Macaca fascicularis: one gene and its partners. The protein of the gene in region 3 interacts with the protein of the main gene of each other region in a biochemical or structural test. Links are inferred from orthologs where the notes say so. Each region holds a gene or a part of one and is shown on either strand. Other genes may lie near its edges. The genes, in order: DLG3, SNTB1, FRMPD4 and SNTA1.

What was found.
Region 1: the proteins of FRMPD4 (region 3) and DLG3 interact in a test that uses a peptide from one of them, tested with the Homo sapiens proteins (2 studies listed by IntAct, with this or other methods). The link is inferred for Macaca fascicularis from reciprocal best matches to the Homo sapiens genes FRMPD4 and DLG3.
Region 2: the proteins of FRMPD4 (region 3) and SNTB1 interact in a test that uses a peptide from one of them, tested with the Homo sapiens proteins (2 studies listed by IntAct, with this or other methods). The link is inferred for Macaca fascicularis from reciprocal best matches to the Homo sapiens genes FRMPD4 and SNTB1.
Region 4: the proteins of FRMPD4 (region 3) and SNTA1 interact in a test that uses a peptide from one of them, tested with the Homo sapiens proteins (2 studies listed by IntAct, with this or other methods). The link is inferred for Macaca fascicularis from reciprocal best matches to the Homo sapiens genes FRMPD4 and SNTA1.

The regions. Positions count from the first base shown.
Region 1 is NC_088395.1:77,241,630-77,246,589, forward strand, and holds part of DLG3 (disks large homolog 3), read left to right. Parts: intron 1-3,874; coding exon 3,875-4,051; intron 4,052-4,287; coding exon 4,288-4,363; intron 4,364-4,960. UniProt on the Homo sapiens protein: Required for learning most likely through its role in synaptic plasticity following NMDA receptor signaling.
Region 2 is NC_088382.1:130,428,447-130,434,151, forward strand, and holds the start of SNTB1 (beta-1-syntrophin), read right to left. Parts: upstream 3,244-5,705; 5' UTR 3,041-3,243; coding exon 2,461-3,040; intron 1-2,460. UniProt on the Homo sapiens protein: Adapter protein that binds to and probably organizes the subcellular localization of a variety of membrane proteins. May link various receptors to the actin cytoskeleton and the dystrophin glycoprotein complex.
Region 3 is NC_088395.1:12,491,031-12,495,990, reverse strand, and holds part of FRMPD4 (FERM and PDZ domain-containing protein 4), read right to left. Parts: coding exon 4,188-4,960; intron 3,815-4,187; coding exon 2,525-3,814; intron 902-2,524; coding exon of another isoform or gene 897-901; coding exon 1-896. UniProt on the Homo sapiens protein: Positive regulator of dendritic spine morphogenesis and density. Required for the maintenance of excitatory synaptic transmission. Binds phosphatidylinositol 4,5-bisphosphate.
Region 4 is NC_088384.1:89,418,017-89,423,764, forward strand, and holds the end of SNTA1 (alpha-1-syntrophin), read right to left. Parts: intron 3,950-5,748; coding exon 3,753-3,949; coding exon of another isoform or gene 3,721-3,752; intron 2,506-3,720; coding exon 2,318-2,505; intron 2,217-2,317; coding exon 2,124-2,216; 3' UTR 1,578-2,123; downstream 1-1,577. UniProt on the Homo sapiens protein: Adapter protein that binds to and probably organizes the subcellular localization of a variety of membrane proteins. May link various receptors to the actin cytoskeleton and the extracellular matrix via the dystrophin glycoprotein complex.

The DNA of each region.
Region 1 (4,960 bases), about 65 Mb from region 3:
CAGAGTTTTGCTCTTGTTGCCCAGGCTGGAGTGCAATGGCGTCATCTCTGCTCACTGCAACCTCCGCCTCCCAGGTTCAAGCGATTCTCCTGCTGCCTCAGCCTCCCAAGTAGCTGGGATTACAGGCATGCACCACCATACCCGGCTAATTTGTATTTTTTAGTAGAGATGGGTTTCTCCATGTTGGTCAGGCTGGTCTCGAACTCCCAACCTCAGGTGATCCACCTGTCTCAGCTTCCCAAAGTGCTGGGATTACAGGCGTGAACCACTGCACCAGGCTAGAATAAGTATTTAAATAGTGAAAGAATGGTATTTTTCCACACATAGCCGAGTGAAGAATTAGCTTTTTTGTCTTTTTTGAGACGGAGTCTCGCTCTGTCACCAGGCTGGGGTACAGTGGCGTGATCTCGGCTCACTGCATCCTCTGCCTCCCGGGTTCAAGTGACTCTCCTGCCTCAGCCTGCCGAGTAACTGGGACTACAGGCATGCATCACCATGCCCAGCTAATTTTTGTATTTTTAATAGAGATGGGGTTTCACCATGTTGGCCAGGATGGTCTCCATCTCCTGACCTTGTGATCCGCCCGCCTTGGCCTCTCAAAGTGCTGGGATTACAGATGTGAACCATCATGCCTGGCGAAGAATTAGCTTTTTTTAAAAAAAAAACAAAACAAAACACATGTGACTGTGACTTAGGCCTTACAAAATTTTCTGAGATAGAAGAGCCCTGGTCTGAGAGTCACCCAGCATGCAGTTCTAGATGAGGCCGTGTGCATATCTGGGCCTGACTTTCGTTGTCTTTGAGGAAATTTTCCAGCTCTTAGTCAAACAAAATTTCAGCAGGAAAAAGAGGCAAAGTAGATTTAGGGAAAATCCACATCACGGGTTTGGAAAACAAATCAAAGTTACGACAAAGGAATTGTTGAGGGAATTGGGAATGTTTAGCCTGGTAGAGAAGATCTAGGAAAGACCCAGACTCATTAAATGCTAGAGCTGGAAAGAAACTTAGAGAATATCTAAGGGATTTCCTTTATCAGATAGAAAGTTGGACAAAATGACCTCTGAGGCTTTAGCAGTCTGCAAAATTCTTTTTCTATTTGCAGTTCTGATTGATAGAAAAGGAAATTCTTGTTCAATTTTTTTTGCATTCTCAACTGTGAATGATAGTCCAGTTCAGAATCTCAGACCTCAGATACTACATTTCTATGTCTTTTACAAAACCATAGCTTAAAGCATTGTCCATCCTGTTCATATTTCTTCTTCATTCAGCATTCGTAAATTCATCAAACAAAATCCAGATAGACTTGGGTACCATTTTTTATTGGGAAGTTAGAGTTAGACAACTTCCTTTTTTGCCTTGTTTGCCAGGGAACTTAGAACCAAACGTGTTCCTCATCTGAAGTAAATGACTCACACCAGTGCTTGATATATCTGCTTCCCCACTTTTTCTTTTTAATTGACTTAATGTTTTTTGAAAATTGTGAAAGGAACACATGCTGTGCTTAAAAACACAAGCCCGAATAGTACAATTCCCAATGTGCAGAGTTAACTACTGGCAAAATCTTTTTGACTTTGATCTGTGTTTATTTTGTTTTTACTTAGCTTGTGCTATATGTGTTTTAATTTTTTTGTTGTTTTGTTTTGTTTTGTTTTGAAGATGGAGTCTCAGTCTGTCACCCAGGCTGGAGTGCAATGGCGCAATCTTGGCTCATTGCAACCTCTGCCACCCGGGCTCAAGCTATTCTCCTGCCTCAGCCTCCCGAGTAGCTGGGACTACAGGCGCCCACCATCCTGCCTGGCTAATTTTTATATTTTTAGTAGAGATGGAGTTTTGCCATGTTGGCCAGGCAGGTCTCGAACTCCTGACCTCACGTGATCTGCCCACCTCGGCCTCCCAAAGTGTTAGGATTACAGGTGTGAGCCACTGCTCCCAGCCTCCTAAATTCATTTTAACATCTTCCTTCCTTCCCTCACCAAACTAATTTGTGCTTAATTCAAGTTCTGTTCTTTTCCTTACTGTATTTGTTCTAATCTTTGAAACCCATAATAACATCCAGTGTTTCTCATTGTCACTGAGAATGAGGTTGCTTCATGATGCTCTTCTTAGTAGGAGTGACTGACAGAATGTCTTCCTTGCTTTAGGAAATGCAGGACTCAGGCAGTGAAAATGCATTCAGTTTTGATTCTGTCACACATAGCCCAGAATGCACCTCTTGGACAGCACCTCCTTGTCTGCTGCCTCTGCCATTCTCCTGACTGCTTTGAGTGTGTAAACTGAGGGGGAAAAAAGGGCTTTTTGTTAGAGTTTGGGTATTTTCATTTTCAAATCATCTGACACTGATTTTTAAGAACTCTGTTTCAAGAACTTTAAGCAGTAGGTGGGTATTTCACTCTTCATGGTTTTACTACATCCTATCTCATTTGGGCTTGCATATGGTAAGATAGTGTGTTTTACTTGCAACTTCCAACTGAGCCAAAGGCCACAGTATTGCAGGTAGAAGTCGAAGTCTTGGAACTAGATTTTGGGCTGTGTGTGCAAAGGTGTGAAAACACCTCTATTAAGAGAATATGAAGAAGACAGCCTAGATTGCAGATAGAAAAACACAAACTTCTTACTGAAATCACCCATTTGTGGTGACTCTATATAAAGACAGGTTCCACTGGATGTGAAAAGTAGAAACTTTTTTTTTTTTTGGAGACAGAGTCTCGCTCTGTCACCCAGACTGGAGTGCAGTGGCATAATCTCGGCTCACTGCAACCTCCACCTCCCAGGTTCAAGTGATTCTCCTGCCTCAGCCTCCTGAGTAGCTGGGACTACAGGCGTGTGCCACCACACCCAGCTAATTTTTGTATTTTTAGTAGAGATGGGGTTTCACCATATTGGCCAGGCTGCTCTTGAACTCCTGACCACAGGTGATCCACCCGCCTCAGACTCCCAAAGTATAATGGCATGAGCCTCTGCACCCGACCTCGTAAGGCTCTTTTGATGTGTCACTCCTCTCAGATTTCCAGGGGCTGCTAAATCATGTCTATTCAAGGGCTTCCAAAATTTGCCTCAGACCTTTATTTCCAATACCATTTCCTAGGACTTCTAGCAGCAGCCAAGCTGGTGTCCTTTTCCATAAACCTGGATTGTATAGCTCCCTCCCCACCTTCTCCCACCTTCCCTTTTACTTCTTTACTCTGCATCATTTATAGCATGTCACAACAGCATGTCTTGTCAGAAGACCTGGGTTTTGTCCCAGGTTGGTTAGATATGTGATCTAGGTCAAACTATTTTTCCTCACTGAGCCTCTGTTTCCCCATATGTAAGAGAAAGAGACTGCACTTCTAGGGTCCCATTGGTTCTTTTCAACCCTACCATTGTGTGGGTCAGCGTCAGCCTTAGCTTTTTCTTTGGACTCCTGAGGACATAGGGCCCTTTCTTTAGTGTTTCAGCAGTGTTTACCAGTCATTGTTTGGGACTGTAGTTAACATTTTTTTGTCCTGTCTTTAGCTACTTTTTGAAGATATGTTTGTGAACTGAGAAAGCTCCCTGCTAGAGCTAGTTTCCTAGGATGTAGGTGAGGGAGAGGACTGTTGAATGAGTTCTACTTTGAACTTTTGTCTTGCATCCAGAAGCCAAGAGGAAATGGGGTTTGTAAAATATTTTCGCTTATGCTTCTTATTGGGAGAATGAGATGTTTCTTTGAAAGGGAGTGCATATTTACCACTTTGGCACAGAAAGAAGGATGTGGTCTCCTGGAGACATCCTTCTAGTATGCTGTGAGGCTGCTATGTCTGTGCTGTTTGGGTTGGCCTTCCATCTTTTCAAGGTGCCAGTGTCTTGGCATTTAGGGTTGGATGATCACTTCATCTTTCACTGTGCCTTTCAGGGCCCTGTTTGACTACGATCGGACTCGGGACAGCTGCCTGCCAAGCCAGGGGCTCAGCTTCTCTTATGGTGACATTCTTCATGTCATTAATGCCTCTGATGATGAGTGGTGGCAGGCAAGGCTGGTGACCCCACACGGAGAAAGTGAGCAGATCGGTGTGATCCCCAGTAAGAAGAGGTGAGTCATCATGATCATGAGCAAGGCCTTTCCTGCCCTCTTGCTGGTATTTCTTTCTTGTTTTCCTATTAGAAGTTGCTTGAGAGCAACATTTGTGCCTTGCTTCCTTTTTGGTAGAGTCGGTACTCAACATAGTTTTTACTCAGTGAGCCAAAAAAATGGCTGCTGTGCCTGCTGCAACCCACTGCTGGACCATTTACTGGCAGTAACAGGACTTCTTTCTGATTCCAAAACAGGGTAGAAAAGAAAGAAAGAGCTCGATTGAAAACTGTGAAGTTCCATGCCAGGACGGGGATGATTGAGTCTAACAGGGTAAGTGGGGATTCCCAAGGAAATCAGCCAGTAGGTAAAGAGGGGCGAGAAGCTTGGAATTTAGTCTGATGTGTAGGAGAACTGGGGGACACAAAAGAAAATCTCTTTTTCCGGGGGCTGGCTCTGTCCTGTCAGAACATTGACTGCTTTTCAGAAAGCAGAGAGGGAGCTCTTAAAGTCCACAGCTAGTCTGTGCTCCTTCCCCCTGGGTACTGGCTCTTGAAGATGTGTTGGAGTTGGACTGTCTGGAAGGCTGACTTGCTTGGGGAAAATGAAGCCACTCATGGGTGTCTCCCTGGCTATAGATCCTGTCAGAGCATCCAGCCAAGAAGCCCAGTCCCAGAGCTCCCACCTCCCTTCAGACCACCTGAGGCAGGGGGGCTCTCTATTCACCCCTTTTTTTCTATGAGCTTCACAGGCCAAAGAACTTCTGGAGCAGTAGAGGGAAGAGAGACGTGGAGTAGATGACTCTGTGTATATCAGTGGTACCTTAGGGCATGTGTCCAGGAGGCTACAGTGACCTTTGTTCTTTAGGAAGTACAGTGAGTGTTATGAGTCTGGGTTAGGTAGAAACCTCTAACATCCCTACAACATTTT
Region 2 (5,705 bases), on a different chromosome or scaffold from region 3:
TGGGCGGTGGTTGGAGTACTAAACTAATCTCCATTTACTCCCCCAATAAACAAACAAAAAGGAATCTAGCCGGAAAAAAGGGTGTACTTGCTATACAAATGTACCTTCAAAACATTTCCCTTTGCCCTGTCATGTAACCAGATTACATCTTCAAAACCTCTCCTATGTAGAAACTCTGGAATCCACACTGCATGTTAGAATATGAAGAAGTAGGTATGTCTTTTTAAAAAGCCCTTGAAGTGGTCCTAATAAGCCCCTTCAACTGGGAATCCCAGTATTAGGCTAAGCTACAAAAGAGAGGATTGTGATATTTGACTTGATGGTATTTGATGACTACCATTGCATTGAGAACGAACACTTTGGCTCAGAATAAGAGACACTGTTCTGAGGAGGGCCTCCGCTTCCCTTAACAGCAGCTGATTTTGAAAAACTTGGGCTGAGGATAAGGCTGCTACACTGAGCCAAAAATGTTCATATCTAGGAGACCCACAGTGTTTCTCCAGAGGTCCTGCCTATGACAAATGACAAAGTGTTCTAAGAATGTCATGTTAGAGGTTTTTACCAAACTCACTTTTCAGTTTCTGTTTCAAGAAACTGAAAGTCACATAATTGCTTGATTTTTTTTCTTTCTCTAAGTTTATTTTCAATTGCAGAGAAATTTCTTCCTCTTTTTGGGTGAGAGATATTTTTTACCTCTTTGCCAAGTAATTATTCGTTAAATTGAAAGCAAGCAGAGGAAGAAAAGTAGGGACATAATAAAGGATAGTACCTAAAATAAAATGACCCGCCTTCCGCCCCACCCCCAACCCCTACCCCGGTATTTACAGTAAGTATTGCAAACTGAGCAGGTGCCCAACAGTTTATATTCCAAATAACACTTGCCCCAGATCCCACCTGACCCTTGTCACACAAACCAACACACACTGGAGTCAAGAAAACTTTTTTTTCCTGTTATGTTAATCATCAAGCCAAAGCAAATAGCTTTCCACTGTCTGGGTCCAGGGTGGTAATTGACTATGAAGACATCGCAAATCCTCTAGACAAACAAGGTTGGTGGGGGAGAACTTCTCTGTATTGTGGGCCAGGAGGTGGGCCATGACATACCAGGGAGTTGCATCAGCTGTCACACACTAGTGATGCTGGCACCCTTGCTTTAAACTTTCTCAGTTTCACACACCAGTGCCACGACTAAGTAAGCAGGAAATTGACTTACGTCTTTAGGGCTTAAATCAATCACCATATTACATGGTCTCAGATGAAATAGTCTATTTCAATAGCTATAGGTTCATTTATTCATTTACTCAGTATGTATGACATGGAGCAACTAAGCTCCAAGAGAGATCCACCGCTAAATAAAAGACTCCAGATACCGCAATCTATAGGTAGGCTAGGCTGAGTAAATAGATAAAATAATTACACGTTATTAGTGCTGACAGAGGTATGTACACAGCACTAAAGAGAAGAGAAACAAGTGAGAAATGCAGCTGTAGCCAAACAGGAGAATTCAGTTTACTACCAATATGCCCTTCTCCCCGACATAACTCAACATAGCCATGAACAGTGCAAAACTGTAAATAGGTGGTTCCTATTCTATTCACATTCAATAATGAGGGGACTGGGGACATCAGATCTCGAGAGACAGAGAGTAGTTTCTAGGCTCCTCACACGCAGGGGGAACTGTTTACAAATGCAAAGTTGTTTCCACACCACTCAGAAAGGGCTCCAGAAAACGCAGCCAGAAAAACCACTTCACCAGCTCTCCACCCAGAGGAACCTGGAATCCAGACTGACCGGCCAGATGCCCGGCAGGGAAAGTGAATTTTCCCCAAAACTGCAACGAATTTCCCGGCCCCTGACACAACTCTCCAGGCATAACCCTAGTCCCCCATTTGCAGGGGGAACGTCCAGAAGGATAGTCGGAGTTTTAGCATTCACAATATTGCCACCTCTCTCTCACCCCTTTATGAGTCAATCCTCTTCTGCTGGGTTGCCCAGGCTTTAGAGTGGGAAATTTTGCCAAAGCGGAAAACTATGAGTTGCAATTACGCAGTAGCCCTGCTTGGCAACGTTGGATGTAGGAATATTCTAAGTTCACCCTTCATTCTCGATTCCATATCCCAATCCCTACACTCTACTAGGATTACTCGCAGACAAAAATGAAACAACGTATACTAAGCAGCAATCCGGCTGGGAAACCCTGCTAGCCTCGCTTTTCCATACACCCCTCCTGGGTTAAAGCCAACCCTGCGGACTGGAGACTAATTGCCCCCAGGGTGGGTAAAAGTTGACAAAACTCTATGCTGCCAATTCCTCCGCCCTCTCCCCCACCCACACACACACATTCGGCCCCCTGGGGTGTGTCGGCACGTGGTCGAGTGTGGTGTGAGTGTGAGCGTGCGGGTGGGAAGCCGAGCAGGTGTGTGCGCGCCCGGCGCTGCCCGCGCGCGGTTAACCCCTTACCTTCCAGCAGCACTTCCTTGCCCGCGCGCTTTAGCGCCTGCACCGCCTCGTCGTGGGTGGCGTCCCGCAGGTCGGCTCCGTTCACGGACAGGATGGCGTCGCCCACGTACAGGGCTTGGGTCTGGTCCGCCGCCAGCCCCTTGAAGATCTTGCTGATGAGGATGGGCATCTTGTTCTCCTTGCCCCCCTTGATGCTGATCCCCAACCCGCCTAGCTCCTGCTTCAGCACCTTCACGCCGCGCTTTTGGTTCGAGATGGACTCGGGCACCTGCTCCGGCAGGTCGGTGAAGGCGGTGCGGACCCCGGCGGGCGAGTCCGGGGGCTGCGCGCCGCCCGCGCCCGTGTGCCCAGCCCCGGCGCCCCTGCAGAACGAGCCATTGGTGGCGGTCCCAATGCCGTTGTACGCCGCAGCGCCCTCCTCGCTGCTCAGAACCAGGGCGTCCTCGCTCAAGTTCACCAGAACTTTGTGCCAGCGATCCCGCACCAAAACTTCCAGCAGCCCGCTCCGCTGCGCCCGGCCGCCTCCCCCGCCTGCCGGCCCAGCCGCCGCCGCCGCCGCCGCCGCCGCCGCTACCGCCATCTTTCCGGCATTCTTAAAATGCCATGTGATTGGAAAAGGGGGGAAAAGTGGGGAAGGGTGGCCGGGGGGAGGACGCGGGGCCCGGGGGAGCGAGGAGAGTGCGCCCCGTGAGGAGGTGGCGGCACGCGGGACTCCGCTCCGGGAGTTCGCAGACGCACTCGGCGGGAGTTGGCAGCCGCAGTCAGGCTGGTTCCCCCTCTCCTGATCCTGGGCGGGGTGGAGCAACCTAAAAGAAGAAGGAGAGACCGAGACAGGGGAGGGGAAAAAAGCCAGCAGCCAGTTGCAAAACCCCAAACCAAGGGGAGCCGCGGAGCAGCTCAGCGCTGGGGAGAGTCCGTGGGAGGAGGCACGCTGGCGGTGAAGGGCGGGGACCCACAACCCAGCGGCCGCTCACCTGTTCCAGCCGCCCCAGCCTTGGCGGTCACACGCCGCTCGCCCGCCCAGACCTCCCCGCCTCCGTCCCCGGAGCGCACGACGCCGAGGGGACAGCTTCCCGAGCGCCTTCCCCGTCCCGCTTCTCTCCAGCCCACCGCAGTCCCCCTTTCGTCCCAGCTCCCCCACTCCGTGGGCGCCCACACCGCACCTTCGCCGGGTGCGTGCGTCCTGCCTCAGTGCCCTCACTCGGTCCTCCTGAGCCCCCTCCCCTTTCACACCCAGCACGTAGAATTGTCCCTGGGTCTTACAACTCCTTTGTAACTAGATCCAGGTCTCCTCCCTCTGCTTCCTCAAACCCAGGCTTCCCTGACTCTGCGGAGTTCTTACCTGTCTCTCCTTTCCACCCGGGTTCCTAGGAGGAAGCTAAACTCAGACCAAGGCCCTGGACTCCCCAGGAGTTAAAAGGGAATACGCTGTCCCAAGATTCTAGAATGAAGACTCAACATAGCCCGAGTGCCTTAAACCTCCTCTCCTTAAATGCAGGAAATATTTTTTATGGAGCCCTGGACAGGTGTCTTTGCTGGCCTGGGGTTTTCAACAGGTCATGCCTGCCTCGGACCCCAGGGACAAATGTTCTTCCAGCTGTAACTCATTCTATGCTTTAAGCTTTTGACCTATCTTTGTTTTCCCAGTGCCACACCAAATGCTGCCTGGGGATCTCTCTTTCTTCCTGAGTTCCCATATAAGAAGCCTCCCATTTAAGAATTCAGTTGGAATGGGTGATATTTCAAAAGTTACTTTGCAAGTTAGTTATTTGGATTTCAAGTTGCATTTTTCCAGGGTAACAATATTATAATGGTTGTTTACCTTCCCAGAGCAATCCAGAAATGCCCACGTAACCCATGTCACACCTGAACAACCCTGAGTTCTTCTATCCTTGAACCTCTCCAGTTTTCCCCTAACTCTAAGCAGGTCTCAGGGTCCGCTCAAGGTATTTCGTGATTCTCCATTATGTACCCTTCCCACTGCGGTCTACCCTGTCTCCAAACACAAGACAAAACAAAACACACAGTTCTGTTAATTCCTGAAGTAACCCCAACCCAGCAAGGTGTTGAAATAAATCTTATTGAACACATTCCCATTGATGTGTATCATCGTTGAAAGTTCTCTAAGTCTTTTAGAATAACTCACACTTAATCAAGGAGGCTTAAAAGCTCAGATGACTCCCTAAAGAGTGGAGTCCCAACCAGGTCAAAGAATGAAATGAAAACATTTGGACGTTTTCTTGAGAAGGTGGAGTCATTGCAGGTGAGAAGGTGCCCTGGATTGATGCTTCTGCTTGTAGCTCTCCCTCTTCCTATATTTTTAACTCACCCATTTTGCAAAAAGCTCTTTACTCTTTCATGCAAAGGTGGCCACAGCAGGGACGGCAGCCTCAGGGGCTCTCCAGCCCTTTGTGACATGCAGAATCAGACAAGGAGCTAACACAGGTGGTATCACCATCCACTCTCAGGACCGAAAAGCAGCTGGGGCTAGCCCCTTGCTTTAGAGACTGACTCATGTGCATCATTCTTCAGTGAAACCAGAGCCTGAGTATCTGCGTTGAAATCCAGATACACTAAGGTTGAGATAGGCAACAGAGTGCCAGTGTGAAGATTTACAAATCAAGACAGATTGACTCCTGGACCAGAAATCCTGCATCAACATCATGCCTGCATCTTGCCTCTGTGGCCAAACAATGTGGGAGGCCCAGGCACAACCACAGATAATATATCGATTTGCCAGAAGAAACTGTAGGCTCTGGGATGGGAATTTCTCAGAATCTCTGTGATAAGCACATTTTTTTTTTTTCTGTGTAAGCAAACCTACATGGGAAGGAGTATGTTGGTTTTTGAAAGTTGCATCGGAATGAGAGGAGATAGTTATTAGGCCTGAGGCATGTATGTTAGCCAGAGATGCCCTTTCCAGTGGAATCATAATTACAGCTGCTATTCTAAGTTCTTTACACATATTAACCTAATCATCCCAGCAATTCTTGAGGATATTTACTATTACCGTCATTCCCATTTCACAGGTGAAGAAGGGGAGGTTCAGGTTTCATAAGCTGCCCCTGTCATGTAATTAGTAAATGGCAGAGTCAGGATTTAAAGCTGCGAGAGTCTAACCGTTGCCCTTACACTCTTGAAAATCTTCAAAGCCTGTTAGCTACAGCCCCTGTGTTCATCTGCACACTGAAGCCAGCCTTTCCACTGGGAGGGAGACACTGAGGAGGAAGGCCCTTCCCCTAGAC
Region 3 (4,960 bases):
GACGAGACAGAGCAGCTCATTGGCATCATTTTGGGCTGCAAGGAACCCATCAGGCATTGCATATGTGCTCTCCTTTAGGGCATTTATTCTTGCAATCCGGGCATCAAAAGCCAGGTTGCTGAAGTCCAAGTCATCTGGGCCTCGCAGGTCTTCTGCCCAGACCTTCAGCACTGACCCTCTGGATAGCTCCCCTCCTTGCTTCTGAATTGCCACAGCCAGACATGGGCTGCTTGGTTCTGGCGTGGCTTGAGTCATCTGTGGTCTATAGAGGCAAGCGACCTGGACGGTGGCCTCTCCTCTCTCCTCCTCTTCCTCACCATCTTCATCCTGCCCTCGGTTCAGGAAGCAATAGCTGAAGGGTCCCCGGCATCTCCAATTGCTGCCCTCCAGCTTCCGCAAGGGTAATGTCCTATACAGCTTTGAGTCTTTATGAGCCACTGGGGACCTTTTGTGAAACCTCCCCTCGGAGCTCAAGTGCATCGAGCTTTGGGAAAAACTTTTGGTGAGCTTCCTCCCCAGGGGGAGTTCTGCTCGCCTTTCAGAACTGGCCTCCTGTGCTTCTGTGATGCCTGGACACTTTAAGCTGACTGCACCCTTGGTTCTCTCTCGGAAGGTCTCCAAATCGACAGATCCGGAGAGGACACTGCTGCTATGTCTCAGAGCCTTCTGGCTGGGGGGTGTCCTGAGGCTTCCCCCTCTCAGATCCGGTGGCCGCCAGCTCACAGCCTCTCCATATGCCTGATTTGCTTGGGAGAAATCATTAGGGTCTTGATTTGGAATTGGCACCTTTGATTCCGAGTGAATGTTTGATGGTAGCAGGATGGGATCAGCTTCAGGATGTTGAGACCAAGCTGAAGGCATGCCTCCTCGTCTCTCCTTCCCAGGCTCTGTCAAAGCTACACTAGGGGTAGTAGAAAAACAGAGAGAATCATTAAGCATCTCCTGGGAGGCCATTTTTACTACATCTCTACATGATGTCTGTCATTTCTCAAGGATGTAGTCTGGAAGGGCTGCCGTATGCTAAGGTCACCCTGCTTTCCAAAGGCTGCATCTTGATATCTCATAACAAATTTCCATTTTAATGAATATCAAGAAAATACTGGAATCTGTTATTTCTGGAACTGCTGATTCATTTGAAATTGTCTAGAAATCCCAAACATTTTCAGGGATTTCATGAATTGCCTTGCTACCAATATCTATCTATCAAGCTTAGACACAGAAAATAACTATGTATAGATTATTCAAATATATTGAAGATACTAAGTTTCATTTCAAGGGAATTAAGTTAAACCTGGCATCAGTTTCTTTCTTTCTTTTCTTTTCCTTACTTTCTTTCTTTTTCTTTCTTTCCTTTCTTTCTTTTAAAGAAGTGGCCTAATTTAATTAATGCAAATTAAATAAGTGAATCTTTTTAAGAGGACAGCATGAGGTTTGCCTGGTACAAAGTCTGAAGTTGAGACCTTGGGCCAGTTGCTCAACATTTTTTTTTTGTTTGTTTAAGAAAAGCTGTCATGTGAAGCAAATAATCCCCATCTCACAGAATATTTGTGAGAAGCAAGAGGTAACTCAGGTGAAAGTTCTTTATAAATCATGAAAGATTAAACAGTGTGACTTAGTTAGTTTAGAGGTAAATATGCAGTTGGGTGATGAGTTAGGTAATATTCACAGATAACTTTTCCAAGGCAGGTAAAGCCAGTGGTGGGTTTTGAGAAAGTAGAAAATCTTAAAAGAACAGGAATAGAAAATGACCAATATAAGATCTCACTAACTTCTATTGACCTGTATGAAAAAGACACTATTGATGACATAATTTGAAATATGAAAATATGAGAGAGTATCTGCTTTTGCCATATAATGACCAGCCAAGTGGATCAGTGAGGGGAATGCATACCATTGAGTGGTGGAGTAGTGAAGGTGGGATACAGAAGGTGGATGTGTTCTTGTTTCTATGTGTGTTTACACTTTATTATTTTGGGGAAAATAAAGCAGCTCATCAGACATAACCTCAAAATCTTCCTGACACTGGGGTATGTCAGAGTAGGGAGGAGTCAGTAAGATTGCTGAAAGGCAAATAATCTCTCCAAACCCCTCCAATCTCCCTGATACCCTGCTCTCTTATTCTTCTTTGTCCCTCAATAATGAAATGGCAGAATTAGAAATCAGATGTCTTGGGAAGAAAATCAAACTGGTATGTGACTCTAAGCAATACTATCATATAACTAAAAGTCACACTGGGCATTGCTAAACATCTGCATTTAGAATTTAGGAAAAAAACATATTGCTCCATCAAATTCTGAAAGCAAACACAGAGCAAGATTATAAAGCGCAAATGCCATTTTCACCTTTGTAATCTTTAGTATTTATTAAATATTAGGGGATCAATGATTGGTACTTTACTGTTCTGTGGCCTTTTAAATTCTACCTTTTACTTTTCTTCCAGACTTTACGTTTGTAAGTTTGTTGTAAATATGGTTTACATGCTCCTGGCATGTCATACAAAGTGCTAAATCCATCATTGCTGTACCTGTGGTTTCCTTAATCTTGGGGAGCCGATGGCATCCATCTCTCAATGTGCCAAACAGGGGTTCGGTGTTAATGGCTGTGTGCAGAGCAGGCACTGTCATTCGTGGACACATCCCTTCTGTCTGTGGGTGCAGTTCCTTAAAGGTGGCTCCGTGGTTGGGAAGCCCAGGGGCTCTCTCCTCTGAAGGAATGTAATTCACGCCTTTCCCAGAAGCGTCAGGAATCAAGTGCTTCCCTAGGGAGGGGCAGAGCGGCGACTCCACGGGTGTGGCGCAGGCACTGCCGCTGCTGCCCGTGCCACAGCCTGCATCCACTGAAGAGCCTTGGGAGCTCTGCAGAGAAAAATGGCCCTCGCTTTGCAGCGATGACATCCGCTTGGCCAAGTGGTAGTCACAAAGGTGGGCCACACTCTCATCAGCCTCAGGAAGCTTGGAAGGATGGTCGCAGGTGGACGAGTCAGCGTCCTCTGGGTTATCTAAGTCTTTGGCTGAAGATGCACAGGTCACGTCAGTTAAGAAGTGGTCCCCTTGACCAAGTCCTGAGCCATCACTGGTTTCTCCATCAGGAGCTCCTTCTTCCTTCCCTTCAGCCTCCCTTGCCCCAAGACCAGAAGCTCTTGGAAAGGTTTTCCCCGTTGCTGCTTCTAATCCACTTTTTTCAGCCATCCCGCTTTCAGTGGCCACATACCATCTTTGGCTGTCCTTGCGAAAGGCAGTTCTCTCCAGGTTAAAAGTGCTCAGGTGTTGACTGTCCCGTGAAGACACAGTACCAAATTTACCACTGGCGTCCTCCTCCATCTCTGCCGTTTTGGTCCCCTGCTGTTTTTTTCCTATTGTGTTCCCATTAGGGGGTGCCTTCCCCTCACCATCGGCCAGCTTGCTTTTCCTTTTGCTAGTGCAGGAGTATGCCACCGACCCCATGTGCAGTTTGCTGAAATAGTCAGTGACTGACTTAGTCTCCATGGTTTCAGGCTCCATCTCCATGTGGTCTGAGTGAAGTAACTGCTTGGAAGGCACAACTTTGGGCGGGAGGTCAGTTGCTGGCCTAGCAGCCAGGGTGTGCGAGGACTTTGGATGCAAGCCCCCAGTGGGGGTCTTGGAGGCCGGGAACTCAGTCTGCTCTTCTGCAAGGGGGTGGTAGCCTTCGTGAGTGGCCAAGAACATGCGGGAGAGGTTTTCTGACTGTTTTTGTGCTGTGGCCAGTTCAGAACTCTCAGTCATTTCAGAAGAGTTAGTTTCATTGCCCGAGTCTGACGAAGACTCAGGACTATAAGCCCGCAAGATGGCTACACCTGCATGCCGTAAAAAACAAGAACTGATTAATGGATGCATCAGAGGCACTTGGAGACATGTAAGAAAATGGGACCCGTTATTACTAAAACAAAATACCAAGTTTTTCCCTTTTCAGTAAGGACTCTGAGTTTATTGCAGTTTTTCCAGAAATGGGGGTGGGGGTGGGGGAGATGTGCCTTATGTTTTTAAAAAAGTAACAACAAAAGAAATCACATACACACAAAAAAACCTATGATGGCAGTTTCAGCACGTTTATGAAATGGGACATTTGTGAAATGGAGAACACCATGTAACAGAACTCCAAGGGCAAATGGCTTGGAAGGATGGAATGATATGGTTATCAGTGAATGAATGTAACAATTGTGAAAGAACCTGAATTGTCACTGGTCTGCTGTTCTTCTGACACGGATAGAGTCTCTAGAGCTCCCAGCGTGGAGACAACGGCATTATCCAGTCCCTTCTCACACTTGCCTTCGGCGCTGGTGGGCACAGCGTCAATGAGGGACACGGGGATCTCATCATTTTGCAGGCTGCCGCCTTTCTCCTTGTCCTCGGGGAAGGAAGCTGCCTGGCTCTGAGAGTCCTCTTCATCTGAACTGTCTCTAAAGCCAGGTGGGGGTGCGGCAATGGCCATGTTCAAGGAACGCAACAGGAAGTCATCCTCATTGTCATCACCTTCTGGAGGGGGCAGGGATGTGAGGTCAATGATGTCATCGCTTGACCCAGACAGGTTGAGGATGGCCGGCTGGTTCATCTCCCCCACCACGAGGTCCTCCTCACAGCTCACCTCGTCCTCATCCTCTGCGTCATCAGTGTTTTCTGCATAACAGATGTCATGCAAGAGGGGCTCCTCGATCCCCTCTGCAGCCTGGAAGCTCTTCACATCGCCTATGTTTGCATAAACAGAATTTTCCACAAACTGGATGCCCTCTGCCTCTGGAGTGAGATCCAGGCCCTTCATGTCACTGGCACTGCCGATGTAGAGATTTCTCTGCTTCTCCAGCATTTCAGGACTCTCATCTAGTAGTGTTTCATAGCCGAGGGTTGGGGGACTAATACCATCATCCAAGGCAAAGTCTCCAAAAATAAAGGACACTTTAGCTCCTCTCGGAGATTCCTGTGCTTTCTTCAGAGTTTCTGGTCCT
Region 4 (5,748 bases), on a different chromosome or scaffold from region 3:
CTGTAGTCCCAGCTACTCGGGAGGCTGAGGCAGGAGAATGGCGTGAACCCGGGAGGCGGAGCTTGCAGTGAGCCGAGATCGCGCCACTGCACTCCAGCCTGGGCGACAGAGCGAGACTCCGTCTCAAAAAAAAAAAAAAGGCCGGGCGCAGTGGCTCACGCCTGTAATCCCTGCACTTTGGGAGGCCGAGGCGGGCGGATCACGAGGTCAGTAGATCGAGACCATCCTGGCTAACACGGTAAACCCCGTCTCTACTAAAATACAAAAAATTAGCCGGGCGCGGTGGCGGGCGCCTGTAGTCCCAGCTACTCGGGAGGCTGAGGCAGGAGAATGGCGCGAACCCGGGAGGCGGAGCTTGCAGTGAGCCGAGATGGTGCCACTGCACTCCAGCCTGGGCCACAGAGTGAAGACTCCGCCTCAAAAAAAAAAAAAAAAAAAAAAAAAAGTTAAAAAAAAAAAAGTTCTGGGCTGGGCGCGGTGTCCTAGCACTTTGGGAAGCTGATGCAGGAGGATCACTTGAGGTCAGGAGTTTAAAACCAGCCTGGCCAACATGGTGAAACCCCATCTTTACTAAAACTACAAAACAGTAGTGGGGCATGGTGGTGGGCAGTGGTGGGCACCTGTAATCCCAGCTACTCGGGAAGCTGAGGCAGGAGAATCGCTTGAACCGGGAGGTGGAGGTTGCAGTGAGCTGAGAACACACCACTGCACTCCCACCTGGGTGACAGAGCAAGACCCCATCTCAAAAAAAAAAAAAAAAAAATTCATCATTGCTGTTGTCGTCGTGATTTTAGTAGGGAGTCATAACCACCACCCACTCACATCCAGTCAGCACATCGCAGTTTCCGAAGCACCAAACACATTCCACTCCACCTCCCTTCTGCAGGAAAGGGTCCTGAAGCTCTCTAAGATGGCTTTAAAATGGATCCACAAATTATTTGGCATTCCTTTCTTCAAGAAGTGGAGCCTAATTCCCCTCCCCTTGAGTGTGGACTGAACTTAGTGACTCACTTCTAACAAATAGAACAAAGCAGAAGCAACAGTGTATGGCTTCCAAGACTGGGTCGTAAGAGGCACTGTTTGTGGCTTCCTCTTTGCTCTCTCTTCTGTCTCATTGTGGGGAAAGCCAACTGCCATATCATGAGAAAACTCAAGCAGCAGCTCTAGGGTTAGCCCTACATGGTGAGGAACGGAGACCTCCTACCCACAGCCATGTGCATGAGCAGTATTGGAATGGATCCTCCAGCCCCAGTCAAGCCTTCAGATGACTGCAGCCCTAGCTGACAATTTGACTGCAACCTCATGAACGACCCTGAGACAAGAACAGCCCAGCTTAGCCCCTCTCAAATCCCTGACCCACAGAACCTAAGAGATAATGAATATTTGTCATTTTAAGCTGTAAAAATGTGGGGTAATTTGTCACACAACAATAGATAACCAATACACTCTCTTTGGCCCATGTGGTAAAAGTCTGTTCTTCTCCAGGGAAAGGTGCCCCAGTCCTTGGTCTGGTCCATCTTGGGACTGCAGGGGCCACCCCAGGACCCAAAGGCCAAGGCACAGACCACAGACACTGGGCCGGGCTGCCTGTGTCTCACAGGCTGTTTATTTATCCAAGAGTAAGGAGGAGAGAGAGGATGAAGAGAAAAACCAGACTCCCCAAGGTGGCAGGGCTGAGGGGAAAAACAAACAAAGTCTCCTCTTGTTTCTCTTGCCGCTGACCCCAGGGGACTCCAGCTTCAGATGGGACCTCTAGGGGTGGCTTAGGGGCCTCGAGGAGGCCTGGCAGCTCAGCTGTTGGCTGGGGTCAGGATCCGCACAGGGGCAGGTCCCAGACTCGGAATGGCTTCTGTGTACACAAAATATCTCTCCGCAAAAGGCACTGGTGGTGGGGGGCAGCAGGAGGGCCACCCCATCACAGGCAGAGTCCACTCTGTCCTGGGTCTGGGTCCTGGGCCCCGGGCCCCAAGACCAATCCAGTCTCCCTCAGGGGTGGGGTCTCAGAGGCCCTTGTTCCTCTCCTCTCCCTTCCCTCAGCCCAGGGGTGAGCAGGCAGTCGGTGGAGGCCCAGCTCAGGCCATGTCATGGATACCCCTCTTCAGGGCTAGCGCATCCGGTGACTTCTAGGCCAATAGCCCAAGGCGGGTGACTTTGGCCGAGAGGAAGGAGTGGATGATGAAGACTATGGTTTTGGGACACGAGTGCAGGTCCAGCTGCTGCAGGGTGGATGGAGAGAAGAGTCAGGGCCCTGGCCAGCCTGGCCTCCAAGAGTGCATACCCCCTCCTCCCCAGGGTGCAAAGGCAGCCCCTCACTCACGATCTCGCCTTCAGCACCTCCAAAGTCCAGGAAAAGGAGACTGGCACCATCATCTGAAGACATCTGCAGCTTCTCGAAGGGCTGTCGCAGGAGCACAGCTCGGGCTGCACCTGGCTCAGCCGCCCACAGTGTGAAGCCCTTGTCGATGTGCACAGACAGGCTGCAGGGACGCCCGTTCCATGTGCAGGCTGCAGGGAGGGCACATAGGTACAGGCACAGCTGGCACCTCAGACACTACACCCCAACCTCCAACCCCCACCGCAGCTTACAAAGTGGGGCCTGAATGCCTCCAGGGACGGGAGGCTCACTGTTTGTCGTGGCACCTGTACACCCACCCTGCAGAGAGTCATCACCCCCACCCTCAGAGGACCTACACCCACTTCCAGTCCACAAGTAGAAAGGGGGAGCTTAAAATCTGCCATGGACTGGAGGCTCACTCCTGATAAAGGCATCATCAGATCGACCAAGCACCGCCCTTGGAGACCTGCAGAGTTGCCCAGCTAAATTTAAATTTCAGATAAACAATGACTAATTTGGGCATACTTCTATGAAAAAAGTATTCATTGTTAACCTGAAATTCAAATGAGGCTGGGTGTCCTGTATTTCCTCTGGCAACCCTACCCCAAGTGCCATCTCTCACATCCTCACCAGCAGATTGACAAAGCTGGAGCAAGAAAACCCCAGGGAGAAGAGTCTCTGCCTGCCAGGGCACCTGCACATCCAAAACAGAGGGCCCAAACCCAACTTCCTTTTTTTTTTTTTTTTTGGAGAAACAGTCTCACTCTGTTACCCAGGCTGGAGTGCAGCGGGCACAATCTCAGCTCACCACAACCTCCACCTCCCGGGTTCAAGCGATTCTTGTTCCTCAGCTTCCTGCATAGCTGGGACTACAGGCACCTACTACCATGCCCAGCTAATTTTTGTATTATTATTATTTTTTTTTTTTTTTGAGACAGAGTCTTGCTCTGTTGCCCAGGCTGGAGTGCAGTGGTGCAATCTGGGACCACTACAACCTCCGCCTCCCAGATTCAAGCAATTCTTCTGCCTCAGCCTCCTGAGTAGCTGGGACTACGGGCACCCGCCACCACACCTGGCTAATTTTTGTATTTTTAGTAGAGACAGGGTTTCACCATTTTGGCCAGGCTGGTCTTCAACTGCTGACCTCAAGTGATCCACCTGCCTCATCCTCGCAAAATGTTGGGATTACAGGCATGAGGCACCACACCCAGCCAATTTTTGTATTATTAGTAGAGATGGGGTTTTGCCATGTTGGCCAGGCTGGTCTCAAACTTCTGACCTCAGGTGATCCACCCACCTTAACCTCCAAACCCCATTTTCTGTCCCCTCCTGAAGTGCCCTAAAGAAGGAAGCTTGAATGCCCCTGGGGATAAGAGGCTCATTACCAGAGGGACACTCCCAGATCCTCCCAGCACACCTGTAGACACCTCCTGCACACCCTCGGCGGCCCGGTGACAGCCATCCACCAGCTGGCGGGTCCAGGCAGCCAGCTCCTGCGGTGACTCCACGCTGAACAGGTGAGTGTCCACACCGTGACGTGTGCCCGTGCGCAGGGCAAAAGAGAGCTCTGCATCGTAGGGCACTGAGCCCTTGGAGGGGCCTGAGTGCACCAGTCTGGGGGTGAGGGGCAGAGGGCTGAGCATGAGGCCTCGGGCAGGGGGCAAATAGTTCTGGGCAAAGGGGCCAATGACCTGGGAAAAACCCTGTAAATCCTTTACCACCTAACAGGACAGGACTTGCCAGGGGGCACTGATTGACTCAGCAGGAGACATCTCCTGCCACCCTCCCTGTCGCTCCCTTGGCTCCGGCTACACTGGTGTCCTCACACACACCTAGCACACGCCTGCCTCAGCACCTCTGCGTATGCTGTTCCCTCTGCCTATACACGCTTACCTGATTATCTCCATGGCTCACTCCCTCACTTCCTTCAGATGTTAGTTTAAATGTCACCTCCTCTGAGAAGCTTTCCCTGGCCTGCCAGTCCAAAATAGCACCCTTGTCACTCACTAGCCTTACTTTTTCATCATGGTACCAGAAATTATACTTTTTATTATTTGTTTTTGTTGGTTTTTCACTGTCTTTTTCACTAGGATGTCAGCTAGGTTAGAAATGTTGATCTTGCGTTCACCACTGTATTCCCATTAAGTAAAACTATGCCTGACCACAGTAGAGGCTCAATAAACATTTGTTGCCTGACTTGAATCACTTGATTAGGTAGACAATCCAGGACCTAATTATCCCTAGTAGCCAGCAGGCTCCTGACACATGGGCCAGAGCCAGCCTGAGGTAAGGAGACATGGGTGACAAGGACTTCAGACCCCTGCAGCTTGACTGTCACTTGCTGTGTGGCCTTGGTAAGCCAACTGCCCCTCTCTGGGGCAGACCTAAGAGTTCTGCCCCATATCCCTCTTTGTTCCTCCCTTCACCCACTCTTTCTCCTATAGCTCACTTCCCCCCCAGACTTCTGCTGACGCCAGCCTTCCACTTTCCAGCCCTGAGCTGCAGACCCCTGAGTCCCCAAGCTTCCTATCCAAGCTCCCTCTCCATCCCACACACACTCTGGACTTGACTCAGCATCTTGCTCCAGCCTCCTCCCTTTCCACCCCCACCCCCAGTCCCACGCTCACCCAGACACCAGCTCCAAACCTCCTGTTCATTCCAGACCCCTCCTTCACCCGCCCCATCTGGCAAGCACGGAGCCCTGTTAATTTTACACCCATGTGGTTTCCAATGCCAATGCTGCCTTTCTTCTCCATCTGCTCCTGCCGCCCACTTCCACCTCCCCCAGCCACCATCATCTCTCCTGCACGACTGCAGCGCTTCCCCACTTCCATCCTGCACTCTCCGCTGCATTTTCCACGTGGCAGCCACAGGGATTCTCTTAAAGCAACCAGAGCACCTCGCTCCCCAGCTTAAACCCTTCAACACTGCCAAACTCTTAAGATAAAGCTAACATTCCTTAATCAGGCAAAAGAAGCTCTGCAAGATCAGGCCCTGCCAACTCCCTTCTCTCCATTTCCTGCATGAATTCTGGTTGTCACAAACTCATAGCCCCATGAACACGCTATAGCCCTTCATGCCTCTGTACCTTTGACCATGATGTTCTCTCTGCATGGGATGCTCTTTCACCCTTTCTTAAACAGAAAACTTCTACTCATCCATCAAAGTCCAGCTCAGATGTCACCTCCTCCCTGAAGCGTTCCTCAACTACCCCTACAGAGTTAAGTGGCTCCTACAAACTCTGCACTGTAATGGCTGTTCCTGGGTCTGTCTCCCCAATCAGACAAGGTTCTCTCTGGAGGCAGCGACTGTTGGGGTCAGCTCTGTGCCCTCTGACCCATGCAGCATAAGGCATAAGTGTCAATGAATGAGTGGCTAGCGGGGACCTTATGTCCTTTTGTTCCAAGCACCCA